2 linked regions of the Caenorhabditis elegans genome follow. The protein of the gene in region 1 interacts with the protein of each later gene in a pairwise test. Each region holds a gene or a part of one and is shown in the gene's direction. Other genes may lie near its edges.

Region 1 (5,308 bases):
CCTTTATGGTTCCCTCGTCGCATTGACTAGTCAGGTCAGGAAGGCTGTACTGATCAATAGTCGACGGCTGCTCCGATGTACTTTCCACGTTTGTGTAGTCGATTGGAACATCTACATGTCCGAGCGATTTCTGCTTAATCCTTTCGCGAATTTCCTTCATCAGTTTGGAGTCTCTTTCCTGCTTTTTTGAATTTGCGACATTATTCAGGAACTTGATGGAAGACTCGTGAGCATTGAATGTGGATTGGAAGAAGACGAGATGGCTGAAAAATATTCTTAATCAATATATATGGTTTTAAAATACTCACGTAAATGGTTCCTGCCATAATAATTCGTCCGGATATTTGATGTCGTTCTTGTCAATAAATCCTGAATGTTGATTTTGAATTGAAGATCGACTGTATCCATGAACGGACTTTGGAGCACTGAAAACATAATATTTATTCATGATATTTCTCTTAACAATTACTTGTAGCTCGCGATCTTCTCCGAAAAAGGGTTCATATTTAGTTCGACGGCCTGTGCCACTTGCTCTTTAGAGTTTCTTGTTTGGTAGAAAGAAAATGAATGCGAAATAATATCCGCTTCATCCTCATCGGAATTGATTTCGTCTCTTTTTGTTGATCTGATTCCGATACCCATCCTTCTCATTGCTTTCCAATCGACTTCAGGATCGTCTTGTTTGATGTCACTTGTCAAAGACTGAAAAATTATTGCAAATATTTAAATTATAAATTCTTACACACCTTCAGAGTCAATCCTTGCTCAGCAAAAGTGTCACAGGTGTAATCATCTGCAAGTTCCAGGTCCGGTCTCTTGATGCGACGTCTTTTAGGGACTCCTTGAGGTCTGGTCTGCAAGAAATCATTTCTAAATTTCAACAACTAGCATTAAAATCCCACCATTTTTCTTCTATACAGTCGCCTTCTTCGTTGCTTCGGCATCGCTTGTGGTTCGTACTCACAAACCACGTCTTCAGTGTCTGAGACTTCCCCATCTAACGCTTTCTTTTTCTTTTTGAGAATCCTGTCGTTCTTCAACCCACGAGCAATTTTCTGCTCTAATTCTCGGACAATCTTAAAGAAGTTAAATCGATAAAAATTTTTTAAAAGGCAGCATACGCGTTCATCCGGTCGCTCGCCTTCGGAACTTTCTGCAGCATCCACCATCGAACTCTTGTGAGTCTCCACAACGTATTCATCATCACTCTCCTCGTCGCTGCTGCTACTGTGATCATCGTCGTATTCATTTTCTGAAAAACTCTTGTTGTCAGTGCCATCTGCCGATGCGGGCGGTACTTCGATCTCCAACGGATCCTCTACAATTTCTGTTTCAGGAATTCGTGATTTCTTCTCGGGCTGGTTCACTCCCGAAGATTCCGCATTTGCTCTTTTTGATGCGCTTCTCGTCGTCGGTTTCATCTGAAATTAATGTCTCATTATTAAATATAGAAGCTTAAAAACACAATAAATGAATAAGTAAAAAACGTTTATTTAAATTTTAAGTGCTTTCATCTGTTCTTTGCACATTTCAAAGCGGTTTCTAGACTCAAAATACATAGAGATATGCTCAGATTTTAATAAACTACAATTTTAAAACTTCAAAATATGAGAAATTCTCTTGAAAGTGCATTTTAAGTAGAAAATGAACGGAAAAAAATTGAAATATAAAAGAAAAAACTTAAAGGTGCATGACATTTCTTCCATGGGTCTCGACACGAGAACACAACATGTTGACCTGAGTTACGGTAAACTTCGGTTGAAATTAGTTATTTTATGTCAAATTATTCATTTATTTTTCAGTTTTTTCTCATTTTCAATTAGTTTTTAATTAAAAAAAATGTTTTAAAATATTTTAAGTGTCAAAATGGACGAAAGCTTCGACTCTTCTGTTGTCCCTGGCTCTCTGACGAGTGATGACAGGGTGAGTAGATTTGACAGAGTTTTTTTTGTCGAGAAAACGAAAATTTTCAGGCTATATTCAACGAGCAAACATTGAAAAATGGTGATGAAAATTCGAAAAGCTCTCTTGAAGTGATGGCCAACTGCGTTTATCTTGCAAACTCAACAATTCTCCGTGAACGGAAAGTTATTCCTGCGGAATACTTCCAGGATTTTCAAGTTTATGGTGAGGTTTTATCTATCTGACTTGCAATTAAGCATGAATTATTTTATAGGAGATGTCAGCGGATATACTTTGCGACAAGACATTCCAGAAGGACGGAGTGTGTCTTCGAAGCTTTTGGCGTCTCATGACGCGATCCGTCAGAAACTCCTTCAGGTACAGTTTTACTCTCGTAAGTGGTAAAAATTCATTGTTTGCAGAAACTCGCTATTGTCGTTGAAGAGTCACTAAACACGAATCCCGTGGAAACGTTTGTCTGGACCTTTGTCTATGACTCAACCACATCTGCAAGTGCCGAAATCGGATACGGAGGGTTAGATCATTTATCTAAATATAAATTTCACTGACTCTTTTCCAGGCGTAAATCTAAATTTGTGGTGAATTATTTAAACATGGATGATACTGCTCAACAGTTTTGCAAGATGTTCAGCGAGCTTAGAAATGTTCTAAGCCTGCTCCGTCCGCTACCAAGAGGCCTCATTCCATCGATGAAAGTAGCATACAGAGGAGGTAAGGTTAAAAATATTTAATTTAAATCATAAATAAATTATTGTTTTAGAACCGGAATTCGTTCCCGGATTTCAACAAGTCGACGATTTTGTGAATCCTGAGCAGATCAATCTTGGTGCTGTTAGTTTTCCTCACGGCAATGGGTTTGTTCGTCATTTCAATCATCAAATTCTTAATTAAATTGATTCAGATTTCAATTCGCATATGCCTCGAAATTCATGGTTGAACAGCCTTCAGCCATTCGTCCACCAGTGGAAGTTTCTCATTTTGAAGATGATTTGCTCAACTCAACGATCACACCGATCGAAGTTGTTCGAGATAACACAATGAATTGTGCTGAGAATCCTGAACTTGACGAAATCTATTTTTCACCAGGTGCGTTTTGTCGAGAAAAAAAATTAATTTTCTAATGTTTATAGGTCGTCAAGAAGTACGTATGGACGAAGATGTGGCAAACGAATCAATTCGTTGTAATCCAAGTATGGCCAGTGAAATGATGGTTCTGCAGTCCGAATATAATGTATTGATTGCTGATAATGATGAAGTTCCAATGGTTGTTGAAAGGGAACGTTCTCCAATAGTGAAAGCTGCAAAGAAACGTTCAACGAGAGCTCCCGCTGTCCCGATAACTCCAACGGAACCGGCTTCTCCCGTGGAGTCCCCGGTGAAAGAGCAACCTCAAAAAGCGCCAAAAGCTCAGATGAGACGTTCCAGTAAACGCACCACGAAGAACAATGAACGATGCGAACAGAAAGAAGAAGAACCAATAGTGAACCCAAAAAGGGTAATTATTTTTATTGTTATAATAAAAATGTTAAGTTCAATAATTTACAGAGAAGTGCTCGTCGGCTTGTACCTCCAGTTGAAGTCGATGAACAGCCAGAAGAACAAAATGATGATGATGCTCAGAATTCTCTTCAAATTGACTCTGATGCTCAGAATTCTCTTCAAATTGACTCTGATGCTATTATCACCTCTCCCGAGAAGAGAAATGAATCAAAGTCTGCAATACCTGAGGAAGCTGCGGATCTAGATAATACTACATCTGAGAAGCAGGAGAGCTCAACAGCAAGATATGGCGTTTCAAATACTTCTATTAACAGGAAAAAACCAGACCCAGTTGCAAATCCGGTTTCGGAAGAGGCTCAGGTAGATTTGGCGAACGGTAGTATCCCGGATAAAAGACCACGGAAGAGAAAATATGGACGAGTGTCGAGTATTCTCGACGTCGCTGATCTGCCAACTGACGATACAGTGGAGGAAGACGTTCGTGAAAGTCCCATCTACGGTCGTGTACCAAGTATATTGGATGTAGCAAGGGCTGAGGAGAACGATGCTCAAAATGATGCTCAAGATGCTCAAAATGAAATTGCTGTTGAGGGACTTGCCGACTTATCAATTGACACCGAGCAGCATGAAGAAGCAGCTCCAATTAATGTTACTGGTCATCAATCGGAGAGCGTTCCAATCATTGTGACGGAGCATCAGTCTGAAGAAGCTCAAACGGTTGTCACGGAGCAACCAGCAGGAGCAGCTTCAGTTATTGCTGCGGAGAGACACTACGGCCGAGTTTCGAGTATTCTCGATGTAGCTGGTTCGTTCGCTGACGTAGATCCATCAGGTGCCGCTCCAGCTATTGCCACAGAGAGACACTACGGCCGAGTTTCGAGTATTCTTGATGTAGCTGGTTCGTTAAGTGACGTAGATCCACAGGAAGATACCGAAAGCTCCACTCAAAACCAATCGACTTCCAAGAAATTCAAACCAAACCCTCCAAAGGCAATGAGGTACGGCCAGTCGCCGAACATGCCAAGTAGAAGAGGAAACTGAACGATTTCTGGACAATCGTGTACAATTATCAATCTGTTCCATTTTTTTGTTGTTTCTTCGATTTCCTTTTTAATAGTTGGACAAATGCCTTAGTTTTCGAATGAATTTTTTAAATATTAATTTTCATATCCGATGATGATGGGAATTTGTTAAAATACAAAATATTACTTGCATGTGATGAAATATTTAGAGCTATTCAAGTATTTTCCAGCGTTTCAGAATTCTTTCGTTGGCGTTCTTTTTTGAACATAGCGCCGTTTTCTTTCTCAAAGGAGCGCGGTGACATACACTTGTTTCCCTTTTTTCAGTGGCCGTTCGCTCTTTACTCTAATCGATTTCACTTTGGCATTCTGTTCTTATTCCAGCTAAAGTTTTTAAGAATTGTGTTTTTTTAATGAATTTCTCTTTTTGGGTTCTATTTAGTTCGCCACATTTTGAAAAAAATCAACGTTTTTCAGGATAAATGACATCATTAATCGATTCGAGGGTGCTCTACGAGAGTGATTTTTCCATTTTCAACGGTCGACTATGTTCTCTACGCATATCAGCTGTTACCAATAATGAAGAGGGTATTGAAAAAGTGAGATTAATTGGAGATATATTGATTTTTAAATAAAAATAATTAATTTTCAGATTCGAATAACGTCTCCTTCCGATGCTACAATTTTGCTAGATACATCGATCAGTTCTGACGAGTGTTCCAGTTTTATTGAAATTTTGAAAGAAATCTCCACGGCACGGAAAAGCGATCCATCGATTTTAGGACCACGGATTGAAACAATACATTCGGAAAATGAATATCCATTTCAAATGGTTATTGAACCGATTAACAGAGAAAAACATT
Region 2 (4,055 bases), on another chromosome or scaffold:
ATACAACAAAGATCACATGTAACAGATTCATAACTATTTTTTATTCCAGGATTTTGAATTCCGCATTCTAACCTACTGCCCGAACGATTTCCGTGAATATTTTTCAACACAACAAGTGAGAATCGAGACAATTTTCTGGAGAATGTTTATTGTGATTCAAAAAAACCAGAAGGAATTGAAACATTGACCAGAGGAAAACAAAAACAAAAAGGAAAAGAGAGAGCAGACATGGGACAGACATTCGGTGAAAGCTCAAAAGTTATTCTGCTAATGCAGACTTCTAGCCTAAAAGGATGCGTATGAGGTGATGGGTACAGTAAAAATGGGAAAATATAACAAAGGATCGAATGGTCAATGAGGATCGGATGAACGTTTCATAGAAAACAATGTGAAATTAATTCAACCTTCCAATCATCGATGGTAAATAACCTTCGATCGTATTATGGATTAATAATGGGGAAAAAGCTCCTGACTTAGAATCATGGAAAATACAATGTTAGAACTTCTTAACCGGTACAGAGAAAAATGAATGACGGGGGTTTGATTACGGGCATGATGGGAGTGAGAATATGACAGATAATATGAGAATGATACATTCTTAAAATGAGGAGCAACTCAGGCATAAGAAATATGACAGATTGAGAGAAGCTGGAGAGGGAGATCATTCATGGAGAGTTGTACCAATTGCCACCTTCTTTGTACGACTTCTCGTTGTTGCAGTTAGGCGCGGTAGGAATCAATGGGTACAGATAGTAAACCCACCTGGAATGATAAATTTCAGTTAATTAATTGATTTAGATACTCACTGTGGATATACGAGTTCCTCGGATTCCTCCACAAAGCCACAAATACTCGAATCGTTCGAATTGTTGGTACCGTTCTACAAAAATACATTACAGCTAATGTTCAATGAAACTTTCTGGTACCCCATCATCGATAATCAGGTCCTGTGCGACAGGCTCGTCGATTCTTTGTCTCTCCACTTCTACTCGAGGCTGTGCCCTCTGAAACGGAATCGGCGCAACGGCGGGTGCTGTAGTTCTTGTCCTTCTATCTTGTGACAATCTCTGAAACCAAGGTTTGTCTCATAACGAAAATATGAAGAAAATAAACTCACTGGACCGGGAGTAGCCGACCGACGCGACATGCGGGATGTCTGAGCATTTCGGGACTCGTTCATCAGCTAAAACAAGAAAAATTAACTTTTTTTCGGTGTACTACAGCACTCACTATGATTTCGTCCGGATAAGATGGCCACGAGTCTGGCGATCCAAGGGAATAAGCACCTGTAGTCACCCAGTCGTACACCCTGAAGAATAAGTAAATTAGGAACATTTAAAAATTAGTTTCATACGTTTGTTGCCTGGCGACCTCACTGACTGGACCGCTCCAGATTTTGTCCCTGTATGCGCCTTTGCTGAAAAGAAAGTACTCGAAAAAATGACATTTTTTATTCAAATACCTCGGGGAGTGCTCTTCTCTTGGCTTAGAACTCCAATTCTGTCTCGTTTGATGACGTCCTCGATAGTTTGGCATCTGAAAACAATGATAAACGTTTTTTGAGCTTGAAAGGAGAAAATTTAGGCAAACTCGTCCAAAAATGAGAATTCAGACCGTTTTAAAAATAGCAAACAAGTTACAGTAATCAAAGGAGCAGTCAGTAAACTAAATTTAGGCCTCACCACGAGTTAGCGAATTTCACTTGCATTTGCGTATTTTTAAAGAATAGTACTTTTTAAAATTACCTCTAGTAATCAAATTTGTTGACAGTTTTGAAATGAATGAAAAATTTACTTTAAAATAAAAGGAAAAGCTGCATTTAGTCAAAAATTATTTGAATAGTTTTGAGCTTTTGTAATTGCGTGGCGAGACCAATGGACTTACCCAATCCGATGTACCTTTAATTTAGCATTTTATTTGCATTTTTGAAATCCTAAAATTCTTTCCTAGGCTTTCGAAATTGACGATTTTCTGTGTTTTTTAAAATTCAAATATCGTTTCCTAGTTTCGAAAATAATTTTTCGTTTTTTAGTGTATCATTTTAAGCTTGTCATTGGGTTTTTTCTTTCTTTGCATAGTATTCCTCGAGGAATTATATTATATTTCACATTTACAAACTCTTGCCTAAAAATGAGACTGTTTTTTTGCAGATGGCGCCCTTGGAAACCATCTACGACGAATCGCTCAACAAATCGGCGGATTCCATTGATGATAAGGTTTTTTTCATGGTTTTATGGCCATTGTAATTTTTTTCATCTTTAGAAATGGTCCAAACTTTTCCCAAGGATTGTCAGCGACCCGGATCGATCATCCAATTTCATGACCAGAGCAATCTACGTCGCGTTTTCGGCTGTTCTTAGGAACCGTAACATTCTTGGACAAGAATATTTCACGAAGAATTACATCACTGGTAAATGTTTTTCTTATCACATTTTATAGTAAATGTTCTTTTTCAGAAAAGCTGAAATGCATGACGCTGTGCTTCAGAAACCCACGGTCTAACCAAATCGCTCAACTACTTCGAAATGCTGGGGATGCAACAAAGGATGGGTTTCTGAAAGAAGTCTCCCTCGTGATCACAAATAATGAAGGAGATCTTGAAGCCATCGAAGTTTTCTCTATGAAGTTCATTTATTTTGAGAATGGCGGCGTGGTTGCTCGTCTGAGCACTGACAAGAATGGCCAGGAAGATCCTCACTTCGCAAAGCTTGCTCAACTTGTATACGAGGGTGGCGACAGCGTACGAGATCAAATGGTGACGATTGTTCGCAGTGTTCAGTTCCTCTGCACAAAAGTTCTCGAACCGTTGCCAGAAGAATTCACGGCTAATTTTCGATTGGAGTACACAAACGATGCTCCATCCAATTTCCGCATTGATGGCTTCGAAGATTCTTCCACTTTTTACACACTTCCTGATGATATCCAATCGGCAACCATTGGTCACTTGCGCCCAGGATGCCACGCTGCAAACATGGAATGCTGGAGCATGTTGATGTCCGATTCATACGAAGCAGAGTTGACTCTCAAGCGACACCTGGACAAAGTTTCCGATAGGCATGGATTCAATCCAGTGAATGTGCTGTATAAATCGTTTAATTCGGAGGACAGTGACACAAGTCTTAGTCAGGCCACTACTGAATCTGTCAACGATCAAGGAGGAAACGAGACTTCTCCGGTGGATGATATAACTGTTAGTTTATTAGTTTTTTACATATAAACAAAAAATTTAAAATTGTAGGAGTCTCTCGAGAAAGCACAAATGTCGCCTATCCAGACGAGACCAACTACTCGCAGAGGAGCCGATGGCAGCAAAACCAGATCGTCTCCATATTCTCGTTCCTGTAAATAATTTTTTTCCTAGCTTTCAATAGATTATAGCTTCATTCTGTAACTTGGCATGTTCTATATCATCGTGTAAAATGTTTTATTGTCTTGAGTGTTTCCTTTCTGCTCCATTATTGTATCCTTAGTTTTTTTTATTCAAATTACAGTCATTCATAAATAAATCGACTGGTGTTATTAAATAGCATGTTTCCCATGACTCCATTTTCAAGATACTCCAGTGCATTTCAGAATTTTTCAACAATTGACCAATCTAAAAAGGATTCTCTCTTTTCTTCTTCTGCTGGATACCGCTCCGAGTATCTTTCGGTAAATCTCGAAATTCTCTTTGTATTCACCATTCATGCTGACCTCGATAACTTTTCTCAAGGTTCTTTGCTAAAATTTATGTGGTTTGCAAGGGAACGTGGCGATTGTTGATTGTTGGTTTCAAGTTTTGAAAAAAAACACAGTTTATTCTACTTTTCAATGTCAGACGTCACAAAATTTATCAGAAAAAGCTTTTTTATTGCAGTGTCTGAAACAATTTTATGTAGTATTCAGGTTGATTGTAGTCGTTTTAAAGGCGCGTGCTACTTTAAATTGGTCTCGCCACGAAAACCATATATTTGTATGTTCTGTTAAAAAATCACATTCTAGCGAACAAATATCTCAATTTTCATTTAAGAAAGAGCAGTCGCGCCTGTCGCCAACAAAATGGATCGTGGCGAGAC

Evidence for each region.
Region 2: the proteins of htp-3 (region 1) and htp-1 interact in a two-hybrid assay, tested with the Caenorhabditis elegans proteins (2 studies listed by BioGRID).

Annotation. Positions count from the first base shown.
Region 1 is NC_003279.8:4,825,213-4,830,520, forward strand, and holds htp-3 (HORMA domain-containing protein), read left to right. Parts: upstream 1-1,859; 5' UTR 1,860-1,866; coding exon 1,867-1,923; intron 1,924-1,973; coding exon 1,974-2,127; intron 2,128-2,176; coding exon 2,177-2,280; intron 2,281-2,324; coding exon 2,325-2,437; intron 2,438-2,482; coding exon 2,483-2,634; intron 2,635-2,683; coding exon 2,684-2,777; intron 2,778-2,824; coding exon 2,825-3,009; intron 3,010-3,053; coding exon 3,054-3,418; intron 3,419-3,468; coding exon 3,469-4,464; 3' UTR 4,465-4,584; downstream 4,585-5,308. Other genes in the region: tofu-4 (Twenty One u-rna (21U-RNA) biogenesis Fouled Up), read right to left, coding at 1-263, 309-425, 470-702, 747-854, 903-1,076, 1,122-1,421; F57C9.4 (C2H2-type domain-containing protein), read left to right, coding at 4,928-5,044, 5,098-5,308.
Region 2 is NC_003282.8:5,389,653-5,393,707, reverse strand, and holds htp-1 (HORMA domain-containing protein), read left to right. Parts: upstream 1-2,150; coding exon 2,151-2,216; intron 2,217-2,262; coding exon 2,263-2,410; intron 2,411-2,456; coding exon 2,457-3,190; intron 3,191-3,238; coding exon 3,239-3,349; 3' UTR 3,350-3,519; downstream 3,520-4,055. Other genes in the region: ZK616.5 (uncharacterized protein), read right to left, coding at 666-762, 807-880, 927-1,067, 1,118-1,183, 1,231-1,309, 1,355-1,417, 1,463-1,536.